4 linked regions of the Notamacropus eugenii genome follow. The protein of the gene in region 1 interacts with the protein of each later gene in a pairwise test. Links are inferred from orthologs where the notes say so. Each region holds a gene or a part of one and is shown on either strand. Other genes may lie near its edges.

Region 1 (7,925 bases):
ACTCACAGGAATGTTCCCAGCAGTAGCCCCAGCTCCAAACCTGGCACCAGGATCATATGCTCCATCCACCAGCACTGTTGAACCCGGGGGGTATACGTGACCAAGTGGATAGTAAGCCAGTGGTACAGCAGAGCCAACAGGCCCAACAGCCACAGACTGACCCATGGGAAGAAACAAAGAAGCACCAGGATATGCAGCTGACATAGTGGGAACTGTTGCAGTCCCTGGGTGCACAAAGTTTGGACGATAGAGCTAAAAAGGGGCAGAAGAAAAAACCAGTTTATTTCCTACGGTATTTATTTTGTATTTTAATAGTCAACGTTCAATTCTCCAGTAGAAACTATGTCACTTATGAAGCCAGCAAATGTCTTAATCATAGCCTCCCTCCCCCTACCTCTGAGCCTGCTCTCAAGACCCTCTCCCCAATGAGGGAGAGCCTAAGGAGAGATGTCAGGGTTGTTACAGTCACCATCATCACCTCCCCCCTCCCATACTGCTCTGCTCTCACTACCCCCTACCCAGGGCTTTCATTAGATAACACATCTTCAACCCAATAGCAATGATTTTTTTCATTCATGCCACTGTTTCTGAAATTCTAACCCTCTATAAAGACAGGGCAATGGTGGCACATGATTTCGGCCTGCTCCAACACCTAAAAATCTTGACACTCTTACCTCAGAATAGGCTGGAGGTGCATCCGTGTATGGTGGAACCTGAGGGAGATGCATGGTTTGAGGGTACACTGGATTTCCAGGAGGCTGCACAGGGTATGTGGGCTGCGTTGGATACTGCCCTAGAAGACACAAAAAGGCACGTGTAGTGGAATCATATGTGGCCAGAGAGAGGGCACGCTGCCCAAAGACTCACACAGCTGTGCAGACCCCTAGAAGTGGGGTCTGACAAACAGCTTGGAAAGGGATGATGCAGCGGAACAAACAGGGGAAGGGGGAAGAAGGTACTATCTTGCAGCTACAGATTAGGGATTCTGATAGGCCCAGGCTGGGAATTGTACAATCTACTCTACAGGAATATGCGGGGGGAGTGTGTCCAGTCAGTTTCAAGGAAAACACCTTATGAATAGGAACTCTTCTGATTATTCTCGGCTCTCTCTGAAGCTGGAGGACTTCTAGGTACCGGTAAGGATAGGAGATGGGATGTACTCATATCAATTAGTAAGGGATCCCTGGCTCCAGGGTTGGCCTTACTAATCATCCTAGTCAGGTGTCTAGATTTGGATGGGTTTCTTGCCTGGATCCAAAGGTCTACAATGACCTTCAAGGTCAACTTCAGAAAGAGGAGATTTAGCAGATGCAGAAGCCGCTAGATCATACATAGATTAAGAGATAGAAATGGTCCAAATCCCTGATTTTACAGATGAGGAAACTGAGCCCCAGAAACCTTAAATGACATACCCAAGGTCACACAGCTAATAAATGTCTGAGCCAGGATTTGCATATATATCCTGTAACTCCAGCACAACTTCCAAAGCCCATCATGGCCTACCACCACACCAGCGGTTTTCCCCCACCAGGGAAGAATAAGAGGATCTTGAAATGGAATAGACCTTAGGGACCTAGGATCACCTAAGCCAATTATCTTATCTAGAGCACTGGACAAGGAGCCAAAGCTCGGAGCTCAAATCCTGTCATAACCCTGGACAGATCACTTCACCTTTCTGTGCCTCAAGTTCCTTCATCTGCATAAAATGGGGAAAACAGCAGCACCTACATCGTAGAATCGTGGTGAGGGCCAAATAATAACAAGAAATCACTGCAAACCCTTGAGGGTTTGCAAAGCACTTTACACTTCTCATTTCATTCGATCCTTAAGACAAATCTGGGAGGCAGGTGTTAATTACTTCCGAGTATTAGCCTAAAAGCAATGGAAGAAGCCACATCCCTATCCCTTTTAATTTGTAAAAAGGGTTTGCGTCCAGTTCTGTTAAATGCGAATGTCATTTACAAATAAACATTTTGCTTTAAAAAGCGAAAAATAAGTCAACCGACTTTGCCACTGTTTTACAGAGGAGTAAACTGAGGCCCAGGTAAGCTGACCGGTCCGCACTCCTTACCAGACTATCCAAATGCCACCTATAGTGACAATTATTGGTCGTTATTGGGAGCCTAATGGTTAGAGGGCACTCTGGATCCGGGAAGTGGAGTAACTTGCCCAAGGTCACACGGTGGGCCTCAGACCTGAACCCCAATCTGGGCTCCTTCCCCTCCCCGGCCAGGCCCCGTTAGAAGGGCTTCCCAGACAATAGAACAATCCAGGGAGAGGGGCGGAGGGCGCCCCGACCCCCGGAGGGGGCTCGCGCCGGTGCTGGGCCGATTTAACCGACACATTCACAGCTATCAAGAAAAGGGAGGCCGGCAGCAAAGCGAGCAGCCCCAGACCGCGGCCCCTAGAGCCCAGCCCTCCCCCAAAGGCACCGACGCTCCCCCTCCAGCTCCCCCAGGCCGGAGGAGGGATGGGGGGCGCCCGTCACCAGGCAGCTCTCGGTCCCGCCCCCGTCCGGCTTCTCATTGGCCAAGCCCCATCGGAGCCCTCGCTCCCCATTGGCCTCGCGGCCTGCCCATCCCGCCCCGGCCCCCCTGCAGCTCAGAACTGCGCCACAGGCTTTAAGGGAAAAAGCTCAGGGAGGGGGCGAGCGGCCGTGGCTCGGGGCCTCGACCGGGAGCGAGCGCGACGCGGGCCCGGGGCCTGGCCCCTCAGCGACGAAGGCGGCCGGCCCCCGTCCGGGCCTACGGCTCCCCGAGGCCCCCGGCCGGCCGGCCCCCGGCCCTGCCCCGCCGGCTTCGCCCCCTGTCCGCTCTTGCCTTTGCTGTTCATGGCGGCGGCGGGTCCGGTTCGGCTTGGGGCTGCGGACGGTGTTTTTTTCGTCCTCTTCCTGTTCCAAGTCACTTCCGTGTCATGTGACGCGCCGTCCTCCCAGAGTCACGGGACGTCCTGGTGACCCCCCCCCCAACCCCTCCTGCGCCGCCACCGGAAGCCCCGCCCCCGGGCGGTGTCTCCAGGGTCAGGACTGAGCTGGGGGTGTCGGGCCTGCCTGGGCCCTCCCCTCTCCGACCCACCCCGGCCCCGCCCTGCAGTCCCAACCTCGCGGGCCCGGTCTACCCGCTCCGCCTCGGGCCACTCGGAGGCTGGGGCTGGGCCGGCCAGCGCCCGTCCCTGCCTCTCCCTAACCCTTCCCGGGTGGCTTCCTCCGAGAAGCCTTCCCAGTTTAGCTCCGCCCACGCCGACACGAAGGAAACGGCGCCCTCGATTCAACCCCCACCCCACCCCCATTTCACAAAGGAGGAAACGGACGCCTGGTGACTTTGGTAAAGCCACAAAATGAGTTTCGTTTTAGAAAGGTTTATTCCTGTCTCCTCGTGAAGCCAGCACGCCTGGGCTCCTTTCCCTTCCTCCCCGTCTCGGTGCTGCCGTCCCACATTACCCCCCGTTCATCCGGTGGATACACAGATACACGCACGTGTGTGTACATACACATACACGTCTCTGTGTGTTACGGGCGAACAGCTGCGGGCTATACGCATGCGTGTTCTTTCCAGATGGATACATGTAGCACGCAAACGGCTCCGGACAAGCGGTGCGTGCAGGCCCCTTCCCCGCACGCCGGGAGCTTCACGAGAGCCGGACGTTCTTGTCCTGGTTCGAAGCCTGGCGCACGTCAGAGTTTAGTAAGTGCTGGGGGACCGAGCACCTGGCCGGGCCCCGCTGCGGGGCTAGTCCTTGACCTCCTGCTCCAAGGTCAAGGTCATTCAGAGCCGCACGTCACCGGGGGAAGATCCTCGTCCCTAAAGCAGCGAAGCCGTTCTGGACGTTTGTTTGCGAGAGGACTAAAGCTTGAGGCTTTGACTTAACTCGCCTGTCACGTAAAGGAAGACAGCCTAGGACAGGAGTTGTTGGGGGGCCTAAGCTTCGCGAGACTCCCCCCACTTGAGACAATACACCTTCCTGACTGCGTGGGGTCCCCGGGGAAACTGGGGAGCTCCAAGGACCTGGGTCCACCTGAGCCAAGCTGTATCCTTGGTGACTAGCATCCTTTCTAGGCCACTACTGAGTAGATTTCTTTAGTTTATGGTCATATAGCCTTCAGGCATTTCAGTTCATCCCAGTCCTGAGCCTGAACCACCGGGCCACAGACAGTCTGGCCTCCTTCACTGACCAAGCATGTCCACTCCCACATTCATGTGTTTCCATAGGCGGCCCCTCATTCCTGGAATGCATTTACTTCTCCCCTCTCCTTCAAAGTCTTAGCTGCCTTCAAGGCTCAGTTCAGTGCCATGTTCCAGGTCAATTTTTTTCCTATGTTACCTAACTTTTAATACTCTATCGCTCCTCAAATTATTTTATATGTACATGTCATATCCTTCCCAGAGAATGTAAGTTCCTTGAGGGCAAGATCTACAAAAAAATGTCACTGTATCCCTAGCACCTGGTACAGTACCGAGCATGTATTGTTCATTTATTCAGTCATATCCAAGACGTATGGACAGTAGCATGCCAGCCACTTCTGTCCTCTACCATCTCCCAAAGTCCATCCAAGCTCATGTTTATTGTTTCTATAATGCTATCCATCTCATTCTCTGCTCTCCCCCTCCCCTTTTTACCTTCAATCTTTCCCAACCCCAAGGTCTTTTCCAGTGAGTTCTTCTTATGGCCAAAGCATTTAAGTTTCAGTTTCAGTCCTTCCAATGAGTAGTCTGAATTAATTTAAGTACTGACAGATTTGATCACCTTGCAGTAGCTTAATAAAAGCCTGTTGTCATTTTTTTGAGGAAAAAGTCCAAGCTATAAATAACCATATGAAAAAATATTCCTAATCATTAATAGAGAAATTCAAATTAGAGCATCTTGGAGGTTCTCATACCCAAGGCTGACCAAAAATATATATATTACAAATGCTGGAGGGGCTGTGGGGAAACAGGTACAGTAATGTACTATTGGGAGAGTTCTGAACTGGTCCAGTCATTTTGGAAAGCAACTTAAAACTATACCACAAAACTGATTAATTTATGCATTCCCTCTGATAGTAGGGCCATACTCCCAAAGAAGTGAGAGATACGTATGTATAAAGTTTTTATAGAAGATCTTCTTGTGTTGGCAAAGAGCTAGAAAATTAAGAGAGTGCCCATCAATTGGAGAATGGATGAACAAATTATGGCATATGAATGTCATGAAATACTACTGTACTGTAAAAATTTATAAGGGGGACAATCTCAGAGAAACCTGGGAAGATTCCTATTAACTGATGTGGAATGAAGTAGGCAGAACCAGAGGAACAATGTATACAGTAACAACAACATCACAAAGACAAATAGCTTAGGAAGAGTTAAAAACGCTTCTTACAGTGACAAACCATGGTTCTGGATGACTCATGATGAAACATGCTCCTCACTTCCTGAGAAAGGTAATAGATCCAGGGTACAGATTGAGATATGGGGTTTTTGCACATTTCTGATGTGGGGATTCATTTTGCTTGACTGTGTGTATTTGTTACAAAGGTTTTGTTTTTGCTTCCTTTTCAATGGGAAGAGGAGTCAGTCAGCATTTATTGTCTACTAGGTGCCAGGCACTGTGCTAAGTGCTGGTGAAACACAAAAAGGCCTGATGAGTCCTTGCCCTCAAGGAGCACACAATGTAATGAGGTGGAGAGGGGGAAGAAACAGATTTTTGTTCATTGAAAATATTAAAATAAGCAACATGATTCATACAAATAATCAAACATACCTTCTGTAGACTGAATAAATATAATTTTATAAGAAAAAAATGCCTGTTGTTATTTGGTCAATCAACCAGAGAAATAATATATACGTAAATACATACAGCATATTTGCAAAATTATCATACACTTGTGTTCAATCTTCTTGACCCCATTCTGGAGTTTTCTTGGCAAAGGTACTGGAGTGGATTGCCATTTCCTTTTCCAGCTTATTTTACAAATGAGGAAACTGAGGCAAGCAGGGTTAAGTGACTTGCCCAGGGTCACACAGCTAGTAAGTGTCTGAGGTAGCAGTTGAAGTCAGGTCTTTCTGACTCCAGGCCTGGCATTCTTTCTACAGCACTACCTAGCTGCCATTTACAAAATAAATAGAGGTAATTTTGGAAGTGAGGCTCTACCAGTGGAAGGGAGCAGAGAACAGTCTAATCGAGAAGACAGAATTTCTAAGAGGCAGAACTGAAGGGGGCAAGGTCCTTTCTGGCATGGGCAAAGGCACTGAGATGGGAGATGGAGTGTAATGTGGGGAACAGCAAAGAGGCCAGTTTAATTGACCTATAGAAGGCATGAAGGGGAATAATCTTAATCAGTCCGGGAAGTAGGTTGGAAGCAGGTTGTGAAGGGATTTGAACTCTAAAGAGAGGAGTTTGTATTTGATCCTACAGGGAGCCCTTGCAATTTATGGAAGAAGGGAATGACATAATCAAATCTGTGCTTTGGGAATATCACATTGGCCTCTGTATGAACCTTGAAATTGGAAAGATGAGACTTGAGGCAGAGGGAACAATTAGAAAGTGACCGAAATAGTCCAATGAAAAGGTAAGGTGATGGTGAATGAGGCCAGTGACCGTAGAAGTAGAGAAAGGGGACTAGTAGAGGAAGTGAGAGAGGTTATAGACATGAAAAGGACAAATTTTAGTAACTGAATGACTAAGTGGGCTGAGGAAGAATGAAGAGTTGAGGATGACACTAAGATTGCAAACCTGGGTGACCAGAAGGATGGAGATACTGTTGTTATTTTATCACTTCCCAGCTAGAAACCTTTGCATTTTCTAGCCTCTAAAATCTTTTCTTCTCTAATTCCTGCCCATTGATATTCTCTTTTTCCCCTCTCTGTCTGATCAAATCTTGTTCATTTTTCAAGGTCCAGTTCATTCTACAGCTTCCATGGAGCCTTTCTTCCCTAAACAGCTCAGTCCCTGGTGATCTTCAAAGTTCTGTAGTGAAAGAGGGTAAAAACAAATTGAGGAATAGCTAATAATACTGTCTGGCTGGAATGTAGTTCACTTGAAGCAAAAAGTGTGAAATAAGGCAAGAATAGTAGGTTGGAGCAAGATTATAAATTGCCTTAAATGCCAAGCTAAGGAGTTCGCATTCTATAAGCAATGGGAAATCACTAGAGAGTTCTGTGCAGAGAAATCACATCATTAGACCTGAGTTTTAAGAAGATTATTTTTGTAACTGTGTAGAGGACTGATTAGAAAAATGAAGCCTGCAAACAGGGAAACCAGTTAGGTGGATACTATTAGTGTTCCAGCTAGAAAGGGAAGGATGAGGACCTGAACCAGGGTAGTAGCAAAGAAAGGTAAGGACAGATGTTAGAGTTATTGTGGCAGTAAAATCAACAGGACCTTTATTATCTGAAGTTGGGGGGTGGGGATGGAGTGAGGGATTAGAGTCAAAGATAACTGTGAGGTTTCAAACCTGAATCATTGAGAGGAAAGCAGCACCATAAATAGGAACTGAGAAAATTGGAAGGAGGCAGATTTATGGTGGAAGATGAGATATTCAGTGCTAGATGTTTGGAGTTTGAGAAGCCAGCAGGACAATATAGCAGGTAGCTAGATTTGCAGGATGGGAGCTTGGGGGAGATCTCACTAAGCTTTGGAGAAAAAATTGGAAACTGTCAAAAAACTTTTTATCCATCAGTCAGTAAACATTAGTTAAGTTCCTACTATGTACCTGGCACTATGCTAAGCATTGGAGATATAAAGAAAGGTAAATACAACCCCTTCTCTCAAAGAGCTTATAATCCAATGAAGAAACAATGTAAAAACAAATATGTACAAACAAGCCACATATAGGATAAATTGGAGATAATGAACAGAGGAAAAGCAGTAGAATTAAGGTGGATCAGGAAAAGTTTTCTGCAGAAAGTGGAGTTTTAGCTGAGATTTAAAGGAAGCTAGGGAAACTAGGA
Region 2 (7,162 bases), on another chromosome or scaffold:
TGCTGTCTTGTATCAGGACTAGGGTTGTGGAAACTTCTGGCAGCCCTGGGTTGGGGAGTCTACAGCTGTGTACGTGGAAGGGGGCTTAGACCAGGGGCAGCTGTGTTGCTGTGACCCAAGGGTCTTAGAGACCTCCAGCACCTAGACTAGGACTGGGGCCTGAAGCTGTCTACTGGAGTTATGACAAGTGCAAAGCTTTGTTTTCAAGACTCCAAACTGGACTTGGGAGCCTACAAAACTCAGACGGGGAAGGCAGTTATTAGATGGCAAACTAGATTAGGCAGCATCCTGTGCTGAAAATTTTCAGGTTGTTGATCTGAGCTACCCCTGAGGTTTTTTGTAGAACCCTAGAGGAAGCAATGACAGTATCCTAGACAATATCCCAGATCAGGACCAGACAAGGTGACACCGTTTCCTCCAGAAGCGTATAGAATTAGATTTTGACACAAATTCTCATTCAGGAAGGAAGGCTAAAAAAAATGGGTTAAGAAAAGAAGATGATAAAGAAATATTACAGATCTAGGAATACTGAAGTTTGGTCCTGATTAATTCAAATACTGAATCCCATGAAGTAGTCAAATCATTCATATTTGCACTGCATATTTCCACTGTGTTGGAGCCAATGATCATATTTTACATAACTAAAATTTTAAATAGTGCAAATTAAAAAAACAACACTATCACTTCACGGATTCATTGTTCACTAAGTGGGATCTAGCTGTAATTCTACAACATTTATAAGCCACGACTCAAACAAAAACACAGTTTGGCCACAAGGTCAATCGTAATTCCAGGGAGCAATTAAAATAAGAATTTTAAAAAGTATCAGTGAGGAAAGATTTGGAAGGAGATTAAAAAGGAGGTGCAAAACTTTACCCAGCATCAGATTTCCTGAAAATGTGAATCTACTGGACATAATTACATGGGATAATAAGTGATCCTAGAATTAAGATGATATTCCTAGAGTATAAGTCTTACTACACCATTCCTCTACTCAATAAATTCCAGTGGTTCCATATTACTTCCAGGATTCAGCATTAACATTTTTATTTGACATTTGTAGCTCTTCACAGCCTGTCCTCAGACTGCTTCTCTAGCTTTATTGTACATTTTCTGTTCTGAAAATTAATAGTGGTCCAACTAAACAGACCTTGTTACTGTTCCTCATATGCCTCATTCCATGTATTGTCTTTGTTCCCATACCTGGAATTCACTCCTTCCTTATCTCCACCTCTTAGAATTCCAAAACTTAGCTTAAGCACCACCTTTTTCATGAGGTCTTTTTGCCCCCCCCATGCCAGCTGCTAATCCTTTCCTCTCAAATCACGCTATGCTGTTCACTTGTCTGACTCTTTTTGACCCTATTTGGGGTTTTCTTGACAAAAAATACTGGAGTGGTTTGCCATTTCCTTCTCCAGTGCATTTTACAGATGAGGAAACTGAGATAACTTGCCCAGGTCACATGGTTAGTAAGTGTCTGAGGCTGGATTTGAATTCAAGTCTTCCTGATTCTAGGCCTGATGTTCCATCTACCCATTGTACCTCCTAAATGCCACTTGCCATCTGTTTGGTATTTTGTATACATCTGGACTAGCCCAAGTCTCCCATAGAATGCTCTTTATGGGTGGGGATTGTTTCATTATGTTTTTGTGTCTCCTATGCCTGGTGCAGAGCAGGCCCTTAAGCAATCAATCAGTCATTAAATAAACATTTACTAAGCCTACTACGTAGCAGGCTCTGCGATAAGTACATATTGATTGAATAGGCCTGAAGGAAAGACAAATACCATGAAAATCAAAGAGGCCCCAAAAGAAAATGGGGTGCCTTTGGAGATCATGTGACATCTCCCTCCTTCGAGGGTCATCAAGCAGAGGCTAGAAAACCATCTGTAGTTAAAGAGAATGCCAGGGAAGGGGTTCTTGTTCTGGAGCAGGTTGGACAAGGCAAACTCTGGGAGCCCTTCTATTTTCAAAGATTTGGTGATCTAGCAAGTTATCAATGACATTGAACTCAGCCATTCAAGAAAGCATAGGGGACCAACTAGTTCCAGTGAGTTCAAGCCTCAAGGCCACATGTAGCCCCTCAGGTCCTTCAAATGTGGCCCTTTAACCGAATCCAAACTCCACAGAACACATCCGCTTAATAAAAGAATTTGTTCTGCAAAACTTGGACTCAGTCAAAAGGCCACACCCTAGAAGAGCGTATGTGGCCTCAGTGCCACAGGTTCCCCAGCCCTGAATTATGCAGGCAAAGAACTGGCTGGAGTCAGAGTGTCTAGCTCTATTTCCTAGTTCCACTCAGCAACTGTAGACATACACAGCTAAATAGCCCAGAGAAGTGATGGCTTAAGGGAAACATCCTGTCTTTGAATTTCTTAAGGATTGTCATAGGGCAAAACAAAAAGTGCCTTCCTCCTCTTAATTATTCCCATTTATCCCACATAGAACTTGCTTTGTATAATTGGTTTCCATGTTATCTCCCCAGTTAGATTGCTTTGAGGGCAAGGACTGTTTTTTGCCTTTCTTTGTATCCCCAGGACTTTGCTCAGTGCCTGACACAGCAGGAGTTTAATAACTGCTTATTGGTTGATTGTTCTGTTTAGAACTAGGGTTACAGAATAAGCAGAAGTTATATAGTAAGAAAGGCGTGGGGTTCCATATACACAAAAGCTTTCCTGATTTCTTTCTCTATCATGGTTCCAGATGCTTTTCCCTCTCCTCTCGAATTGTTAGCTTTTTTGATACAGTGTCTTCCTCCATTGGAATGGAAAATCCTTGAAGACAGGAACTGTCTCTCTTTGTTCTTATATTTGTATCCCCAATGCTTAACACTGTGTCTGGCGCAAAGGAAGCACTTAATAATTATTTGTTGACTTGACTTGATTCTTCTAACCACGGACTAAGATGTATTTTGAAAGGTGAGCTTCCCATCGCTAGAAGTTGCAGTCACAGTCAGACCTGAAAGTTTCAGAGCTGGAAGAACCTTTGGTAGTCCTCCAGGACAATTCCCTTATTCTACAGATGAGGAAACTGAAGCCAGAGACATTTAAGAGACTCTCTGGATGGAGGCCCCATAGGTATGAAGCGGCAGCGCTGGGGTTTTAACTTAGATCCCCTGGTTCCAAGCCATGGCTCATGTCTATGATACTGTGCTGCCCCTCCTAGTCCTGAGTGATCAGCTGTCAGGAACAGGACCTGGTGCCATAGGAGTTTAGATAAGAAAGGACTTTATAAGCTTGAGAAACCGAGGCTTAAAAGATTACACGGGCTACATCAAAGGTGACCTACGAGCGCCAAGGCCCCTTTCAGTTCTAAGATTTTGGTACTATGCTCCTTTTTCCCCCTTTTCCTGACTCGTGTGTCTCCCTCCAAAAACAGATATGACAAAGACCTTGCTCTCGAGGCATTTACAACCCAGGCTGCGTTTCCCTCAGTCCAAGGCTCTCTAATGGCAGGACTCACGCCCTCTTCCTTTCATCTGGACTCATCTAGAGTCTACCTGCTTCCACCTCGCTCCCTTTAGACTGAGGGCAGAAGCGTAGACAATGGAGTGTTGTCATTTGTGGTTGGACTTGAAGTCAGTCAATAAGCATTTATTAGGCATAATTTATTTTTGGTGCCAAGTGCTGGGGATACGGAGGAAAGCCAAAAAAGGCTCCAGAAGCTCACAGGAGATAACATGCAAAATGCATAAGCCAGACACATACAGGATAAACTGGAGAAGAGCAGTACAAGAAGGCACTAGCACAAGTCAAAAGACCTGGCTTCGTAGTCCGGCTCTGTAACTAGACAAATCATTGCCTTGCCTCCCCATTCTCCCGACCCCCTCCCTTTCCCGCCCAGTTCCATTCATTCTTTTTCAAAGGTACCCCCTATGGGGCGTGACTTTATGAAGCCACGCCCCCATCTCACCTTTGCCCTCCAGGGATTGGTTCCTGTGAGACCTCTCCACTCCCACCCTGTGTGACGCACAGCGCCGTGCGGTGGTAGGGCCAAGAGTAGGAGGGACTCTTCGACCTGAGGGGCGGGGCCGGGGAACTCGGCCAGGAGCTTGGTAGGCAGGCGCGCAGGCGCAATGTGGAGCGGAGGGCGGGGCCCGAGGTGAGGCGAAGGGGAGGGGGTGGGAAGGAAGGAGGGAGGAAGAAGAGCCGGAAGTGGGCGGCGGGGGCTGCAGCTGCCAGGGAAACCGGGGAGTAGAGCAGCGGCGGCGGCAGCGGCGCCTGGGTTGGGCTGGTGGGTGGGCGCTGAGGCGGCCAGGCCAGCAGGGGCGGGAAGCAGCGGGAGCCGGCCCGGGGACGCCAACATTCGCCTCCCCGCCCTCCCGGTCCCCTCAGCCGCCGGGGGGCTACCGGCCTAACCGCCCACCGGGCTGTGAGGAGCCGCGCGCGGCCTTCCTCGCCGGCGCCGACAGGGGGCGCCAGCCACAGGGGCTCGGGGGAAACCTTCCCCCCCGGCTCTTGGGGGCCGGGGCCGGGGCTGGGCCGGGCTTGGCCCGGCGGGGGGCAGTGTCCGGGGTACCTGCGACCCCCCTCCCCCGGCCTCGGGGCTCGCAGGTGGGCGCGGGGAGCGGGTCTCCTCCTTCCCCCCGGGGCAGGGGTCGCGGGGGCGCGTGGCCATGACGGGCAAGTCGGTGAGGGACGTGGATCGCTACCAGGCTGTCCTGGCCGGCCTGCTGCTGGAGGAGGAGAACAAGTTCTGTGCGGACTGCCAGGCCAAAGGTAACCCCCGGGCACCCGGCCTCTTGCGACCCCTCCGAGAGGGCAGGGACTCCGGCTTAGGCGAGCTTGGCCTCTCCGCCCCGGAGCCCGGGACGGGGCCTTCTGTGTACGGGGATCGTTTCATACACGTCGGTCCAATGAATGAATGAATGAAGCCGCCCTCGGGTCCCTGCTGACCTCTCACCGGAGAGAGTAGTAAGCAGGCTCTCTGCAGCCCGGCAGCGTTGTACATACGGACGGATGGAGAGCGCGCGCGCGTGTGTGTGGGTGCGCTTTCCGAGATGGGATCGCAGGAGCGTAGATACTGAGCTGGAACGGACTCCGAGTACGAATAGCCTCGGAGCTGGTGCCCGAGGCTGGATGGCTTTCCATCCACCTGGTTGTCCGGTGCAGTGGGGCAACATCTTCATGCGGTGACACACTGCAGATGTCTTGGCCCTGGCGCTTCACCTTCATAAGGGTGGTGGAGCGTGGGAGAGCCCAGTGTGGGTGGTGGCAGTAACAAACAGGTTCAGACTGTAGGGCAGGATCCGTTTGGTGGATGGAGAGAGAAATAACATTGGGTTTGCTTGGTGGTGTCGGCAGGGCCAAGCCCGGTGAAGCGCTGTTATTGTACAGTGACCCAGCAATGCCAACATCTAGCGTCCATCTGCCGGCGACCCTCAGAGACCCAGCTGGAGCAGCTGATTGGAATATAAATCAGGGGGTTTGGCCTAAAAAAATACGCAGCCACTTGCTTGGCAATGGACACATTGACTGCAAGGGCTTGAGGTGGATTGTTCTCGGTTCCTCCTTTTACAGAATACTTGATAACGCAGGAGTTATGGAAATTCCTGGGTGGGGTTGGGGAAGGGGGGCGGTCCTGCTGTTTTTAATGCATTTCCCTGAAATTGGGCCCAATGACCCTATCAGTTTCTCTGGATGCTCTGGTAGTGGATGTAGTAATTGCACAGGCATTTTCAACATGAGGATAAACCAAAGACCTAAATGTATTGTTTTTTTGGCTCTATGGGAGGAGGGAGGGAAGGAGAGGGCAAGTAGGCAAGTGTTTTTTGTTTGTTTGCTTGTTTGTTTTCATGTGAATGGAGTGGGGAGGGAGATGCTATGTCTTTTTCTTGCCCCTCATAGAAAGAGGAAGAATTAATATGTCTTGGTGAAAACTGGCTCAATGGGAAGGTGGGTAGCCATAAACCAGACTTTATTTGAAAAACTGCTTGGGATTAATTTGTTAAAAGTAGGCTCTTGTTAATGAGTTTCTTCTCTCTGTTAGAATTTCCCTGCAGCTAGGGGGAGGTGCCTTGGCTTTGCTCAGTTCCTCATTCTGAATCACCCACCGGAAGTTCTATTGCTGGGATGGAGGAGTCAGATGCCATTTCCATGATAAGACCCATTTCTCCTCATAGGATCACATAGCCAGAGCTGGAAGGGACATCAGAAGCCATGTAATATGATCCCCTCATTTGAAAGGAGGAAATAGAGGCCAAGGGAGGCTAGATGAGTAGCCCAAGGTCACACTGGCAATTAGCGTCAGAGGTGAATTTTGAACCCAGATCCTCTAACTCCAAAGCTCTTGTTCTTACCACTCTACTACACTTCCTCCTGATTCATATCCTAGCCCTACCAAATTAGTCACTACCTTGGGCTCACCATCAAGGTCCATTTTCTTCTCTGAAATGGAGGGACTGGACTAGATGCTCTCTAAGGTCTAAATCTTTTGATTATCTCTTAAGCTGAAGCCAGGGTGTGAAGAGTTTTACAGGCTTTCCAGGCTAATTACACGATTCTCCCTTACTGAGCTCTGGCTCCAGCCAAGCTGGTGTCCTTGCTGTTCCCTGTACAGGATGGTCCATCTCCTGCCTTTCCATAGACTGTTCTCCTGGTCTGAGATGTTCTCCCTCCTTTCCATCTCTTGGAGCCCCCTAGCCCTCTTCAGTGCTCAGCTCTAATGCCAGCTTCCCTCAAGGGCCTTTTCCTGATTTTGCCTCTTGTCAGTGACCCTTTCCCCCATCATTGTGTATTTATTTTGCTTATATTCTGTATTTACTTATCTTTGAACATATTGTAGTCCTCTCAGCACTTGATGGCAGGAACTGTCTCATTTTTGTAACTGTGTCTTTAGTGCTTAATTCAGTAATAGGAGCATAGCAGTTGTTTAATAATTGTTGTTATCTTTAACAAGTGATCATCCAGCTTGAATAATAATAATGGTAATGATAGCTAGCATTACTTACTCAGGCACTGTGCTGAGCACTTTACAAATGTTGATCCTTATTGGAATGAATGAAATCATTTGAGCCTCAGCAACCTGGAAGGTTAGCAGTGTTATGATCCCTATTTTGCAGTTGAGGAAACTGAGGCAAACAGTTTAAGTGACTTGCCCAGGGTCACACACCTAATAAGTATCTGAGGCTAGATTTGACCTCAGGCTTACCTGACTCTAGGACC
Region 3 (7,090 bases), on another chromosome or scaffold:
CTTGTAATCTTTTACCACAGAAGAACATGACTCAGTCCTGGGGGTAGTGTGCCTAGGAGATGAGATGTATTAAAAAACCAATATGACTAAAACATCTTCTGCCCACAGCATGGAAAAGGGGCCAGAATGCATCTAAAGTTTTTATGGTTGGGTTATATTCTAAGTATTATGTTTGTTCTCCTCTCAGCCTGTCTTGTCATCCTCACCTGCATACCCATTCCAACTTTCAAGTTATTCCTATCACCCATGGGAACTCAAGAAGATGGCCAAAATATTTTGTGTGGATTTGCCTAGTCTCTTTATAGCACCAGTAGGAAACATTGGAGAACCATTCCCTGGTCCATCTGATTCAACTCTATTCAACAAACATTCACTAAGTATCTGTTGTTCTAGGCATGGTGCTTCATGTTTGTCTTTCAGAATGGCTTCATCCATATGCCCACTGATGGATCGGACACTGTCTCATAAGGAAGCAAAAACTTCAGGTGCTACTAGATTCAACCTCAATAAATATTTGGTTTAATTGCATTTTATATTTTTTTGAGAACTTTATTTTCTTTTTAAAAAATTTAATATTTTATTTCCCCCCAATAATACATAAAAACAATTTTAACATCCTTTTTTCAAATTTCCAAATTCTCTCTCTCCCTACCCCTCTCTTCCCCATTGAGAAAGCTAGCAATATGACATGTTATACATCTGTAGTCATACAAAACACGTTTCCAAGTAAGTCATTGTATTTTAGTTTAGATCTGACTCTCTTTACCCCATATTGTGCCCTTATGGATGGGGAAGCTGGGAGCAGTCAATTCTGGATTGGGAAATACAGTGTGTGCCTGGTGGGGTGTGTTTTGAGTGAATGGCCTCCTCTCATTCAGATTCTCTCTTTTCTCCTTTCACATCTCCATGACCCCATCTTTTCTAGAAGTTATAGGATACTCAGGAGGTTGGGGTGCTAATTCGTCCTGATCTCAGGCTTTGGATGTCTGAGCTATAAGGTTTGGGATATAATCCTAGGCCTCACTAGCATCCCTCCCATTCCTTTGCCCACTCACCTGCAGGGCTGCCTCTGGATTTCCAGTTAGCAGGTGCACACAGCCCATGTTGAAGCAGATCTTGGAAGAAGGCTCTTCAATTCTGGAGAATAGTTCCAAGGCCAAATCCCAGTCCTTCCTATCCACAGCCTGGACAGCTTCATGCCAGCCCTTCACCAAATCACTGTATGACATTAAGGATGACCCTACAGTGGAGCTGGCCTAGCTACCCTGGGGGAAATAAAGAGCTCTTTGAGAAGGTATTGACTGAGCACCTTACAGCTGTGAGGTTGTGAGAGGATTGTGCCTGACACTCCTTAGAAGGCAGCCTTACCAGGGTGAGAATCTGGGCTGAGCAGGAAGTAAAGCCCCTTTCTGTTTACCTAGTAAGAGGTGGAGGTATGTGTGTGTGTGTATTCATGTGTGTGTGTGTGTGTGTGTGTGTGTGTGTGTGTGGAAAGGGGAGTGAAAGGGGGCTGGCTGAAAGGATCTTTCAGGTGCTGAGGTCTGGGGAACACCTGTCTTTTAGAGCTAGAGAAAAGATCCTGTTTCCAGTGGCTGTTGTGGGGGTGGGCTATGAATAATGATAAAATGTCTGGCTTTTAGACAGCTCTTCATATTCTGTATAGACTCTCACCTGTAGTTTCTACCTGTGGCAGAGCTGAGTGATGAAACACCTGCTATCAAGCTGCTCTGTGTGATGCGTGTTTTGTGGGAGGGGGAGGAGGGTCTTGGCCCCATCTCTAAAGGACAGAGGAGGACAAGAAGCTTCTGGTTCATTTTTTTTTTTTTAGGAAGACTTGACAGCCACTGCCCCTGTCCTCCTTCACATTTAAGTCCCTGTCATGAGCTGAGAGTATTTTAAGGAAGCAGTTTAGATTTGAAAACAATAATCAGATTGAAGTTTACTAACTAAAATGGAAAAGGATTTCATTTGGTTACTTTATGGTCATGGGATGGGGAGGAATTATGCATGGGGATGAGGCAGATGGGGTGAGGGGAGAGAAGGTTCATGTGTGGAAAAATATCTGTGAGGGGAGTGGGCTATGTGTGTATATGGGTGGGACAGGACAGAAGGGCAGTTATAAAAAAAGACAGAATAGAAATGCATTTGGTGAGGACTTCAAGAGGATGAAGGTCTCTGAAGGGCCTGAAGAGAATATAATATGGGGGAAATTCTCTGAGATATGGGGTGTAGCAGGGAGAGCTATTTTAAGAGGAATCTGGTATATGAAGATTAATCAAGGCACCTGTATGGATTCAGGAGTCTTGATTCTAGATCTAATAGGCTTCAGAGGACTGGGTCCTATCAGATTGTATTTTATTAGGGGCACCCATGCTCTTTATTTCGGGCTCCATTCACTCTGAATTCTCCACCTTCTCCTCAGTAGCAATCTCACACTGGAGATAGCTCTGCTCTGAGGACAGCTTTGCTGATTGCTGTGTCCCTAGCCACAACCACCATTTCATTAGGGGCCCCAGCCATGTTCACTTCACTCTCAGCAAATCTGGATTTCTCTGTCCTTACTAGTCATCTCACCAGTCACCTTTGCCCCAGCCTGGGTTTTTCTCCTCCCACTTCAACTTCCTTTTACACAGTCTTTCTCCACTAGAATATAAGCCTTTGAGGCTGGGTCCCGTTTATATCCTCCAATTTCAGCCGAGTGCTTAGAACAAAGTCCTTCATGTTCTACCTGGTTAGCTAGGTGGTAGAGTGGATATAGCACTGGGCCTGGGCTTCAAATGCAGCCTGAGTGACCCTGAGCAAGTTGCTTAGCTTGTCTGTTTCCCTAACTGTGAAGTGGGAATAACACAGCACCCACCTCTCAGGGTTGTTGTGAAGGCTAAATAAGATATCTGTAAGTGTCTAGCCCTGTTCCTGGCCCACAATAGGTGCTATATACAATGCTATTTCTTCTTTCCTCTCCCGCCCCCACCATCTCTTTCTGAGGTGAACAAGGGCATGTTAGGGAGACACGTAAACGTGCATGTGTGTGTGTGTGTGTGTGTGTGTGTGTGTGTGTGTGTGTATCTGATGTCCCTGGGGTGGTGGAGACCAATTAGGGATGTAGAGCGAGAAGTCTAACATGGAAGAAAATGTTTGTATATGAGGGGGTAGCACTCTAGTCCTTTTTTGGGTTGGGATATTTGGAGGAGACTCGGTGGCTGGAATAGTAATAATGACAGTATATATATGTATGTATATGTATATACGTGTGTAGACACCCACACACACATACATCCTACACAGTCTCTTTGGATCCTTACAACCCTGTGAGGCAGATACTACCGGTATCATCACCCATATTTTCTAAAAGAGGAAACTGGGGTTGAGAGAGGTCATGTAGACCCATGGTCACAGAGCTAGTCAGCATGAGAGGTGGGTTTCTAGCCTGGGATTCCCCAGGAATCTGGGGTGGGAGAGCTCTGAGGGGGAAGGTCTCAGGAGGGGGCCTGGGTATCTGAAATATGAGGATTGTGGGGGAGGGCACAGAGGGGGTCTTTGAGGGGGTTGAGGCCTGGAGGAGGGAGTGGAAGGGAAACAGGGTCTGGGGGGGAATAATAAGGCCATGGTGGGGGTTGTCTGAGGGAAACAGTATAGAACGTTGAGAGACTGAGGAGACAGACTATGGGAAGACTGAATGGAGTGGGGGGACTGCAGGGAACAGAATATGGGGGATTTAGAGTGACAGTGTGGGGAGATGCTGGGGGGACAGGGTGTAGAGGGACTGAGGGGGCTGGGGGCTGGATACAGGAAGACTGGATGGAACACAACGATGTGGGGGGACCTGCAGGGAACAGAGTGTAGGGGATTGGGGGGATTTAGGAGGGCAGAGGACGGAGTCTCTGGGGGCTGAGAGGGCAGGATGCAGGAGGACTAATGGATCAGGATGTGGAAGGACTCTTGGGGGGACAAGATAAGGGGGGATTTAGAGGGATGGAGCACGAGGAGCCGCGATATGAGGGGGCTCCGAGACACGAGTGGGGGGGGCTAAGGGGAACAACATGGGGGGCCTAAGAGGACAGGATGTGGGGGCCCCTGAGGGCGCTGCACCAGGCGGCGGCCAGGTCGGCACTTCCCGGAGGGCCCCACCCCGCCGCTGGGGACACAGGGCCTCCCGGTCCGGAGCGGTCCACGCCCACAGGCTAGGCCCGAGTTCTGGGGAGCCGCTGGGGTGCCGTTGGGGCCTTCCTGCCCTCAGCAGCGCTCGGCCCGGCTTCGGTGCCCCCGGAAAAGCGGTCCGGCGCCATTCCGGTGCACGGCTCCGCCGCCGCCCCGCCGCCGACGTTCCGCTGCCGGGAGGGGAGAGGGCGCCGCCCCGCGGGCTCCGAACGCCGGCTCCACGTGAGTGGCCGCGGGCACACGGGGACACGGGGACGTGGGGACACGGGGCCCGGAGGGCCCTGGCCCGGAGATCGCGGCTCTGGGGCCCGCCAGGGCGCCTGTGTGAAAGAGTTGGGGAGCCTCCGGGCGGTGTGGGTGGGGGCGTCGGAGGGAGGGGTCTAGGGGACCGTGTGATTGTGGGGGGCCACGGGGCTGCTAGGCTGGGGGGATGGGGGGGTCTGTTCAGGGGTCCCCGAGCCCCTCCCCCGCCTTCGGCCCCGGGTCCCAATTCCTAGAGCCCGGTGAGCTCCCGAGGGAGCGTCCAGATTCCGGGCGTGGTCCGGGGCGGTCACCGCCCAGACGCATCCTCGGCTCGACCCCGTGCAGCCCCGGGGCCGCCTCCTCCGAGAAGCCTTCCCCTCCCTCCCGTCCCTCCGCGCCTCCTCCCCCAGCCCCCGCTCCCCAAGTCTTGATTTCCCTTCTGCTTTAATTTCTCAGAACACTTTGTTCGACCCCTCCACACAACCAAATTTTGGCTTGTATTTTTATGTATTTGGGTGTCCTCCTTCCTGCTGGGTTGAAAGCTCCCTGGGAGCAGGGGCTGTGCCATTGCTGTGCCATCCCCGTTCTTTCCAGCCCAGAACAAAGCCTTGCCCCCGTCGGTGCCTGGGTATGAGATTGTTGGAAAGAACGTGCGGGTAACCCCCCGTGGAGAGCGGGACGAGGATCCAGGTCTCAGCGGGGCTGCCATGTCCAGCGTGGCCGTAAGGTGTCAGTGCAGTCTTGGGAGGACAGTGGTGTGGACCCTGGTGGCACCCACCGGACTCAGAGACCAGGAAGAGCCCCTGGGTCTGTATTGGCGCCGTCCCTGAGGGTCTTCCTCTCCCAGACTGATGGGTGAAAGAGGCCATTCTTTGCCCCATCCCTTACCTGCCCTAACCACTGGACGGGTGTTGCCTCAGACAGCCGAGGCCAAGGTCTCCCCTGCAGCCAGCCCGTCTCCAGCTGTCCTGACCTGCCCCGGCCCCGGGCCCCACATGGCTCCTGTGGCGCAGCCCTCCCTGCTTCAGCCTGATTCCCTCTGCCGCAAGGACGGACAAACGTCCGTACCGGGAGCAGCGTCTGTCCCTGAGGGCACAGCCTGTGTAATTCAATTAAATGTCCAAATGTACTGTGGCATTTTTTGACATTTTATTTAACATTTTCTAACAGTGATAGGCAGGATGCAGAAAGAACCTGTGGAGCCTGTATTATTTTAGAATTTCTAGTTATTTTATGTAGTTACAGATTCAGCGTTAGACAGGACCCCAGAGGCCATCCAGTCCAACTCCCCTCCCCCCCTTTTTTTCAGATCAGTAAATTGAGGTTTAGGGACTTGCAGAGTAGTAAGTGATAACCAATATTTGAACCAGATTTTTTGACTCTTTCCATTATATTTGGGCTGGCCAGAAATTTGTGTTAGTCCCACACGTAAAGAAAAGTACTTATTGGCAAATGAATGGTTCTCTTCAGAGTGGCTGAATGGTTTAGTGGAAAGGTGCCTCAATTGGGAGCCAGCAGATTCAGGCTTTAGGCTTGTCTTTTCCTCTGCCTTGCTCTATGACTTTTGGCAAAGTCACTTATGAGGTTGGATTAGATGGTCTCTGTGATCCCATTTAGCTTTACGCGCTCTGATTCTAAAGACCACAGAAAGAATATTTAACATTTAAAAGAGCTATTTGTGTGTGTATACTGGAAAGAACACTGGACGTGGGGGGCAGAAGAATGAGGTTCTTAGTGCAGTCCTTAACTGGCAGGCTTGATCATAAATCATTTCACCTTAGCGCATCTCAGTAAAAAGATTGTACTAGACAATTTCTGAGAGTTCTTCCAATTCTAGCCAAATAATTTTAATCACTACTAAATATAGTGCATGTAAAACAGTTTAAGGAGACGTTTCTTAGTACTAATTTTTCCTGTTGATTAAAAAAAAACTTATTTGATATTTTATTTTTCCCAATTACATGTGAAAACAATTTTAACATTTCCCCCCAAATTTTGAGTTCCAAATTCTCTCCCTCCCTCCCCTCCCCACCCCATTGAGAAGGCAAACAATTTGACATAGGTTATACATATTCATAGTCATGCAAAACACACTTCCTTGTAAGTCATTCTGTGAAAGAAAACACAGACAAAAAACCTTCAAGAAAAATAAAGAAAGAGTATCTTTGATTACATTTAGGCTCTACTAGTTCTTTCTCTGGTGCTGGACAGTACCTTGCATCATAAGTTCTACAGAATTGTTTTGGATCATTGTATTGCTGAGAATAGCTAAGTTATTCATAGTAGATCATCATACAATATTGCTGTACTGTGTACAATGTTCTCCTAGCTCTGCTCATTTGCATCGGTTCATGTAAGTCTCTCCATGTTTTTTCCATGTCTTTTCTATGTTTTTCTGAGAGCATCCTGCTCATCATTTCTTAAAGCACAAATTAAGGGACATCTCCTCAATTTCCAATTCTTTGCCACCAGAAAATAGCAGCTATAAATATTTTTGTATGTATAGGTCCTTTTCCTTTTTTAAAAAATCTCATTTGGGATACAGACTGAGTAGTTATATTGCTAGGTCAAAGGGTATGCGTGGTTTTGTAGGCCTTTGGGCATAGTTCCCAGTTTTTTTACATAATGATTAAATTAATTCACAACTCCACCAATAGTGCATTAGTATCTGTTTTCCCACATCCCCTTC
Region 4 (7,164 bases), on another chromosome or scaffold:
CTAAACAAAAGATCTCCCAAAAAGAACCAAAGGGGAAGATCCAAGTTCAGTCCTAGTGGATCTTAAAGCACTCCATAAATGATGTCCTTGGTGTTATTAACAACATGCCTGGTGGCTGGTCCTCGGGTCTTTGTCTCCAGCCTGGAGCTGCCCCACCACCACACCATGCCTGGTGGCTGGTCCTTGGGTTTTTGTCTCCAGCCTGGAGCTCCCCCTGCACCACACTATGCCTGGTGGCTGGTCCCTCAGCACCCCTCCGAACTTGGTGAGGTCATTAACCTGCTGAGCTGGATCCTTAGGCAGCCCTTCCCCCTTTTTAGCCCATTCCCCCCAGTGCTCCAGGCTCTGTTCTCTGTAGCCAAGGGGAGTGAGTCTGATACCTTTTCCTCTGGAGAGGAATCTCCCTCTTCTCCCAGGAAACTGGGGACTTCTTGAGAGCAGGAACCATCTTTTGCCTCCTTTTGTATTCCTACACTTAACACAGTGCCTGCCTGGTATATAGTAGGTGCTTAATAAATGTTGATTGATGGATTAATTGATTCTCCAAGCTAAATACCCCCAGCTCCTCCTGTGCGTGATCTCTGCCCTCCTGGTTCCACTTACCAACTGTCTCCAGTTTGTCAGAATCCTTCCTAAAATCTGCAGCCTAGAGCTGAGTCCCCAACCACAGGCTGAGCTGAGCATGGTTTGTGATGCTTCCCTAGAGCTATGTGAGCTGGAGAACATCCCCTTCACCAACCTCAGTTTCCTCCCCTAAAATAGGGGTCACTATCCGGGTAGGACCTGCCTTACGAGCTGTAGAAGGGTGGCTTCGAGGGATGATGCAGGGCGGCTTTTGCAGGATCCAGGGAGAAGCAGCCTCAGAACAGAGCCCAGATTCTGGACTCCAAACTGAGGCCTCCTGGAAGAGCTAATCCCTGGGAGAGGGATCAGACTTGTCTGCTTGGCCCCAGACAGCAACACTGGAGTGATAGAGCCAAGGAACAGCGATGTCAGGGAAAGCTTCCTAACCTAAACCTGGCTGGCAAAGTAGTGAGCTCCCCACTCCCCAAGGTATTCAAGCAAAGCCTAAGAGTGTTGTAGAGGGGACCCAAACCTGATGTAGCTCATCTGCCTTATGCGTGTGCTTTTGCCGGCTCCGCTGGGCTGCTGTCCGGTTCTTCTGTCTCCGCTTCAGCTGTCTGTCCACTTCTCTGGGATCCTGGGGGCAAGAAGTCCTTGCTCTACCACAGAGCTGGGTTTCTGCCAGAGATGAGCTCACCTACCCTTGCCCCTGACTTGCTCCAGGGCATCCCTTAGGATACCTGCCTCCTCCAAGAAGCCCATCCTGATTGGAATATTGTGGACAGGTTCAGCCTCTGGAAAAGGGATCTGCTGTGCTCTTCCCCTGCACCATTTACCAGCACATCTTAGAGGTTCAATGAATCCAAGCAAAGGTTTTCTATAGCTGCCCATCGTGGGCTACTGGAGGGTGAAGGCAATGAGGTCTGGGGCCAGAGGAGCTGGTCCCTAGCTACTTTCACCCATGTGGCATGGGCAAGGCCCTTCCTCTCCCAACCTCTCTGAATCCCAACCCTTGCTCTCTCATCATTATTTCTAATTAATTCTGTTCAGGCCTTGTTTGAACCTGGTGGCTTGTCAGGTTCAGGGCAACTTAGCTTTTCTTTGTAAGCCCAGCACACAGTAGGCACTTAAGTGCTTACTGACCTACTGACTGATCTGGGGCCTCAGGTTCCCAAACAAAAGATCTTGCATTAAATGAGTTCCCAGCTCCCTCCCAGCTGTAATGATTACTAGTTGTTACGTGTATTAGGCAGGTTAGGGGGAACCAGGTGGGTGCCCTTAACGCCTGTGTTCTCCATGCCCCCCTCTGAGCACTGAAGCTATTTCAGGAGCCTAGTTTAGGGAAGGCTTTTGTAACACTCTGAATTTTGCAAAATACTTTTCATATATTATCTCATTCGAGCCTCACCCACAGCCAAGAGAGGAAAGTACTATTATCACCCTCATTTTACACATGAGGAAACTGAGTCTGGGAAGAGTAAACAGACTTCCCCAGGATCACAGAGCCAGTAAATATTAGTGATGAGATTTTAACCCAAGCCTGTTCCAGCATCAGACTAGGAGAAAAGATAGGAGAGCAGCCCAAAGCCTGAAGTCCTGGGCTCTGAGGCAGCCTCTGCCTCTCCGGGCCTCTTCAGTTCAACATCCTGTAACACCCCATCCACTTAACATTTGACAGATAAACAAACGGTGAGTGCAAAGGGGGTGCAGACTATCTGGAAGAGTTAAAAAGGAAGTCAGTGCTGGTGTGAAAGTACAGGAACCGGGGCTAAGGCAGAGAAAAAAACACATCAATTTTGAAAGAAAAAACAAAGTTCAGGGATGGGGCAGGGGCCTCGATGGGGTGAACATTTGACTTTCTAGATTCATAGAGGTGGGAAGACCTCTTCATTGTACAGAAAGGGAAACTGAGGCACAGGGAAGGACCCTGAACAAAGTCAGTGGCAGAGTCAGGGCTAGAACAGAAGTCTGCCAACTTAGACTCCACCTTGTCTCTCTGCCCCTCAGATGGAGGGAGAACTTTAGGTGTGAGATCTGGGGTCAGGTTTTTATCCCCAAATGGAAACCACCTAAATAAGGCATATCTTGCCTGGTCTTCCTGATTCCCCCTTTCCTGGACCCTGTCTCTTTTGCCCCGCTACTCACGGTCACCAGCAAAAGCTGCCCTTCCTGGGAAGGGGGTGCCCCACTGCACAGGTGCATGTCCTGGTTCCTGATAGGAGGGCCAGGTGAATGAGAGACGCAGGGTGTCCTCTTGCTGCCTGCAGCTTCCAAGTTCCTAGCCCCAGCTGCAGGAAGTAAAGCCTTTAAATCTCTGGTGACCACTCCACCCACAGAGTCCAGTTTCAGTTTCTCTGAAACCCTCGGGCTGCTCAGAATCCCAGGCTCCTGGGGTGCCCACGTGGCTGGACTTTCCTAATATGACCAAACTTTCCGCCTGCTAGGGAGGGCCAGCCAGGGATCAGTGGGTAGAGAGAGGCTCCCTGGGGAAAGATAGAGACAGAGGATCAGCAGGGAGGGGAAGAAGCCCTGAGGAGGAGAACCCAAGAGAGCCCTGCAGCCTGGGGTCTGTGAAGAGAAGAACTAGGGCTGCCATCATGGTCTGGTGGTCAGAGGAAAAGCGAGGGAGGGGCAGGGAAAAGGCTTGGGGACTGGAGAAACCAGTGTGAGTCTGAGCTCTTACTGTTGCTAGCTGTGACCAAAATCAGTGACCTGCCTGCCTCAGGGTCCTCATTTGTAACATAAGAGGGTTGGATAACAGGGTCCCTGAGGTCCCTTCCTGGGGTGAGAGTGTTGAGGGTGCAGCAGAAGAAACTTTGGCTCTGGAGCTGGAGGACATGTGTTCAAATCCTACCTCCTAATACTTACTAGCTGTGTGACTGTCACCTTGTGAGCCTCAGTTTCTTGGGATTTAGAGTGGATGCCCTCTGAAGTCCTGAGTCAGGACGCCTAGGAAAGTCCTGGCTCTGTGTCTGCCAGCGACTCACTGCTATGCCTCTGTTCTCTCCTGTGGGATGAGATCAGCCATCCTTCGGTTGTCTCTCTCCTTGGCTTGCTTTCCCAGAGGGGAGCCCTGCACTAAAGAGCCACTGAGGCAGGCCTTACTGCCTTGGGGCCAGAAGTCCCCCACTCTCCTAGAACTTGAGGACAGCCCCTGCCCCGCCCTGCCCACCACCTAGTGCAGGTCTGAGGTTCAAAGGGAGAGGAAGCTGGGAAATCCTTAGAAATCAGAGAAACAGTTATAGTCATCTCTATTTGCTGGAATAGGCAGCCCAAGCTCTGGGTGGGGCAAGGGGACCTCTGCTGGAGGAGAGGGTATGGAATCAGGGACTGGCCTGGGAAACCCCAGGATTGGAGGCCCCCAGAACAGGCAGGGGCTCTTCAGGGACTCTAGAATTAGAGTGATATTGAGACACCTTGAACACCTTACTGGATTGAGTTGGAGTCAGACAGCTGGGTTCAAATTCTGATATTCCCTGGGTGCCGTACCCCCTGGGGGTTACTTCCTTGTCTACAAAATTAAGGGGATGATCTGTGATGCCCCCACGAGTCTCTGATGCCCCAAACCCCAGAAGGGGACCCCTAGCAGGCTCTTTTCATGGGGAGGACAGACTGAACCCCTTTATAGAAATATATACATCTGAATTTTTGATCTCCCCAGAAACAAGAAAAAATCAGATTCTTACTGAAGACAGCGCCTGCCTCCCAAGGGGCTGATTAAACAGCCTAATTCAGGGCTCACCAGGCTGCGTTTGTGGCCAGAGCATGATGTAACTGCAGGAAATCAGCACTTCGTGTGTGGGTGTGGCCAGTACCGAGGGTCCTCTGGCCTCACTCCCTATTCCCAGCTCCCCCAGGCTGCAGTGTAGGACAGGGAGAGAGTCTAAAGGTTGGCCCTACCCAAGCTCCCAGGGTCTAAGGGTGGGTGGGGTAGGATGGAGGGGCAGGAGCAGGCAAGAGAGGATGCTCCCTGTTCAGTCTATCTCCCTGGGATCACAGCGGGGCCTGGAAGGCTCCCAGGGCTACCCCCAGTCTCTCCCTCCATGCCCAGGGTCATGTTTAATGCATTGGTAGGTAGGAGGGGCCCTCTTGGTGAGGACATAACTCCGGAGGGGCAACCTGGGCACCTGTCTCAGCCTTGGCCCTCAGCGCTTTCTCTGTGGCACTGTGAAGACTGATCAAGCCTGCTCTCAGGTAGCTGACGTTGGGGGTCAGCCTGGCATAATGGGTAGAGCTTGGGTCTTGGAGTCAGAAGGCCTGAGCCACATCCTGCTCCTCAAAGGTACCCCCTGTGTGACCGCTCTGGGCCTGTTTCCCCATCTGTAAAACAGCTTGGGGGCCTTGTGATCATCAAACATAATAATGTCAGGCATCATTATCCAAACAGGGGGATCAGTCAGGGGCTGGTAGGACCAGATCTCCCCACTTAGGCCTCACTGATTTTATATCCCTCCTTTTTTATTTAGCTATAGCTAACATTCATTTATACAGTGCTCATTTGATCCCGGGGAGACCGGTGCTATAATGATCCCCCTTTTACAGTGAAGGAAAGCGAGGCACGTAGCAGTTACGTGCCCAAAGCTGCACAGCCAGTGTCTGGGGCCAGATTCAAACCCACATCTTCCTGACTCCAGGCCCAGACCTTTCCACACTGATACTGGAATTCATCTAATTAGAGACAGTTGCAAAACAGGTTTAACTGATTGATACTTAATATTCGTTTTATAATTATTTTTTAAAAAAGGTAAAGGTCCTTTAAAGCTATATATCTCCTTTTTTGTAGAGTGGAAAAAAAAAATGACTAGCTGTCTTTTGTTTCCACATCACAGGCCTTTCCCTGGGAGCCCTCGCTCCCTGCTTCCTGGCATCAGGGGGAAACAGGCAAGTTCAACCCCAAGGCACTGAAGCTGTGGGTCCCACTTAGATTCGGGGTGGGGGTAGTAAGGGGCTGGTAAGCCTGCCTTGTCTCCCCCACAGGGTGCCTTGCTGCCAACAGACTAGGCTGACCAGAGGGAGAGACTGTGAGTGAGGGGAGACGTGGTTGCAGACCTTCAGGGCATTCCCTGACTTTGAGTCTTGGAAGGTGGAAGGCAAGGAAGGCTGAGGGGAGGGACTGATGAGCTTCTCAGGAGCTGAGACTTTGCTGGGACCTTTGACACAAGGGGAGTCCCGCCTCACCTTCCACCATCATCCTGAGGAGCTTACAGGCCATGGTACCTTTGGTCTATATTTTTTAAACCTCCTCTGGGTAGATTTGTCCAGGGGAACTTAGCTGATCAGGACCAATGTGAGATAAACCGATTTTATTATGCTCAGGACAGGGGGCTTCCCCAAGATGACCAGAGAGGGAGGAGAAGCAGAGTGATGATCGGGTGGCCCCCTAGGAGTCCCTGAGGTGCTCCCTATACTTACTAAAGGGTCCCTGGGAATCCTTTACATTTTGTCCAGACTCTTGGGACCTGCCTCCAGGATGCTGGGCTGATGCACCCACAAAGGACACTGGGAAGGGCTCATTTTCCTGGGTCCCAAAGGGGACAACCAGGGGCAGTGGACCAGGACTGCAAACAGTCATGCTTAGATTGGAGGTCAGCAAAAACTCCCTCACATGAGAGGCTGCCCAGAGGGGAGTGGGCACAGAGCCTGGCATCACTTAAGTAATGCAGGCTGGGTGGGAAGAGGATAGGGGGCAGTCCTCCTCCTTGGAGGTTCTCAAGTAAGAGCCTAATGACCTTTTGTCAGGGACATCAGGGGGAGGAGTCCTTTAGGGTCCGGGTTCAACTGGAAGATGCCAAGCTGTCTTTGACCCTCCAGAGCTGTGGGTCTGTGGCTCCCTAGTGGATTATTAGCATCCATCCATTCATCCATCTATCCATCCATCCACCCATCAGCCTCTCCCTCCTCAGTTCCCAGCCCCCAGAATCTTGGAGCTCTCCCTCTGTAGTTTAGCTCCAGTCTTTCCTGTCTCTAAGCATTCTTGGCCATACTCATCTGCAGGTTGCTCCCCCACCCCATCCCCATCAGACTGGGCAGCCACTACCATTTGTCTTTGCATTCTGGGTTTAGCACAGGTCCTGGCACACAGTTAGGGCTTAATAAATGCTTATTGACTGACTGGCTTTAGAGTCCTGACTGCATCCTTACCAGTCTTGTCACTGTGAACATTTTATAAAATCTCTGCTAGAAAGGGCCAACAGAGTTGAACTCTGTCCCCAGAGAAGAGTTGGAGAAAGTACCACACTTCTTTTGTTAGAGAGGTGGGGGCCCACAGGTGTGGAAAGGGGCATTACAATTGTCCCATGCCGGGTTGGAGAATTAGCAGCCTCAAAGGCCACATGTGGCCCTCTAGATCCTCAAGTGTGGCCCTTTAACTGAGTCCAAGTTTTACAAAACAAATCTTTTTATTAAGGGGACTTGTTCTGTGATGTCTGCATTCTGTCAAAGGGTATCACTTGAGGACTTAGAGGGCAACATGTGGCCTTGAGGCCCCAAGTTCCCCACCCCTGCCTCAGACCCTGACAGAGAAAGTCCAGCACCCTGAGCTACAAAGCCTTGGGAATAGCAGTGACTCCTAAACCTGCTTCCAGCCCAGCCCCTGCAGAG

Evidence for each region.
Region 2: the proteins of DAZAP2 (region 1) and SMAP2 interact in binary tests that used the Homo sapiens proteins (3 or more experiments, as listed by UniProt). The two-hybrid records come from large-scale screens. The link is inferred for Notamacropus eugenii from reciprocal best matches to the Homo sapiens genes DAZAP2 and SMAP2.
Region 3: the proteins of DAZAP2 (region 1) and EXD3 interact in binary tests that used the Homo sapiens proteins (3 or more experiments, as listed by UniProt). The two-hybrid records come from large-scale screens. The link is inferred for Notamacropus eugenii from reciprocal best matches to the Homo sapiens genes DAZAP2 and EXD3.
Region 4: the proteins of DAZAP2 (region 1) and BATF2 interact in binary tests that used the Homo sapiens proteins (3 or more experiments, as listed by UniProt). The two-hybrid records come from large-scale screens. The link is inferred for Notamacropus eugenii from reciprocal best matches to the Homo sapiens genes DAZAP2 and BATF2.

Annotation. Positions count from the first base shown.
Region 1 is NC_092874.1:223,615,903-223,623,827, reverse strand, and holds the start of DAZAP2 (DAZ-associated protein 2), read right to left. Parts: upstream 3,018-7,925; 5' UTR 2,833-3,017; coding exon 2,820-2,832; intron 2,462-2,819; exon of another isoform or gene 2,072-2,461; intron 794-2,071; coding exon 675-793; intron 253-674; coding exon 7-252; intron 1-6. UniProt on the Homo sapiens protein: In unstressed cells, promotes SIAH1-mediated polyubiquitination and degradation of the serine/threonine-protein kinase HIPK2, probably by acting as a loading factor that potentiates complex formation between HIPK2 and ubiquitin ligase SIAH1.
Region 2 is NC_092876.1:78,638,515-78,645,676, reverse strand, and holds the start of SMAP2 (stromal membrane-associated protein 2), read left to right. Parts: upstream 1-4,154; 5' UTR 4,155-4,614; coding exon 4,615-4,717; intron 4,718-7,162.
Region 3 is NC_092872.1:493,497,398-493,504,487, forward strand, and holds the start of EXD3 (exonuclease mut-7 homolog), read left to right. Parts: upstream 1-4,071; 5' UTR 4,072-4,380; intron 4,381-7,090. Other genes in the region: NOXA1 (NADPH oxidase activator 1), read right to left, coding at 1,056-1,229. UniProt on the Homo sapiens protein: Possesses 3'-5' exoribonuclease activity. Required for 3'-end trimming of AGO1-bound miRNAs.
Region 4 is NC_092873.1:17,745,979-17,753,142, forward strand, and holds the start of BATF2 (basic leucine zipper transcriptional factor ATF-like 2), read right to left. Parts: upstream 3,006-7,164; 5' UTR 2,767-3,005; coding exon 2,710-2,766; intron 1,202-2,709; coding exon 1,097-1,201; intron 1-1,096.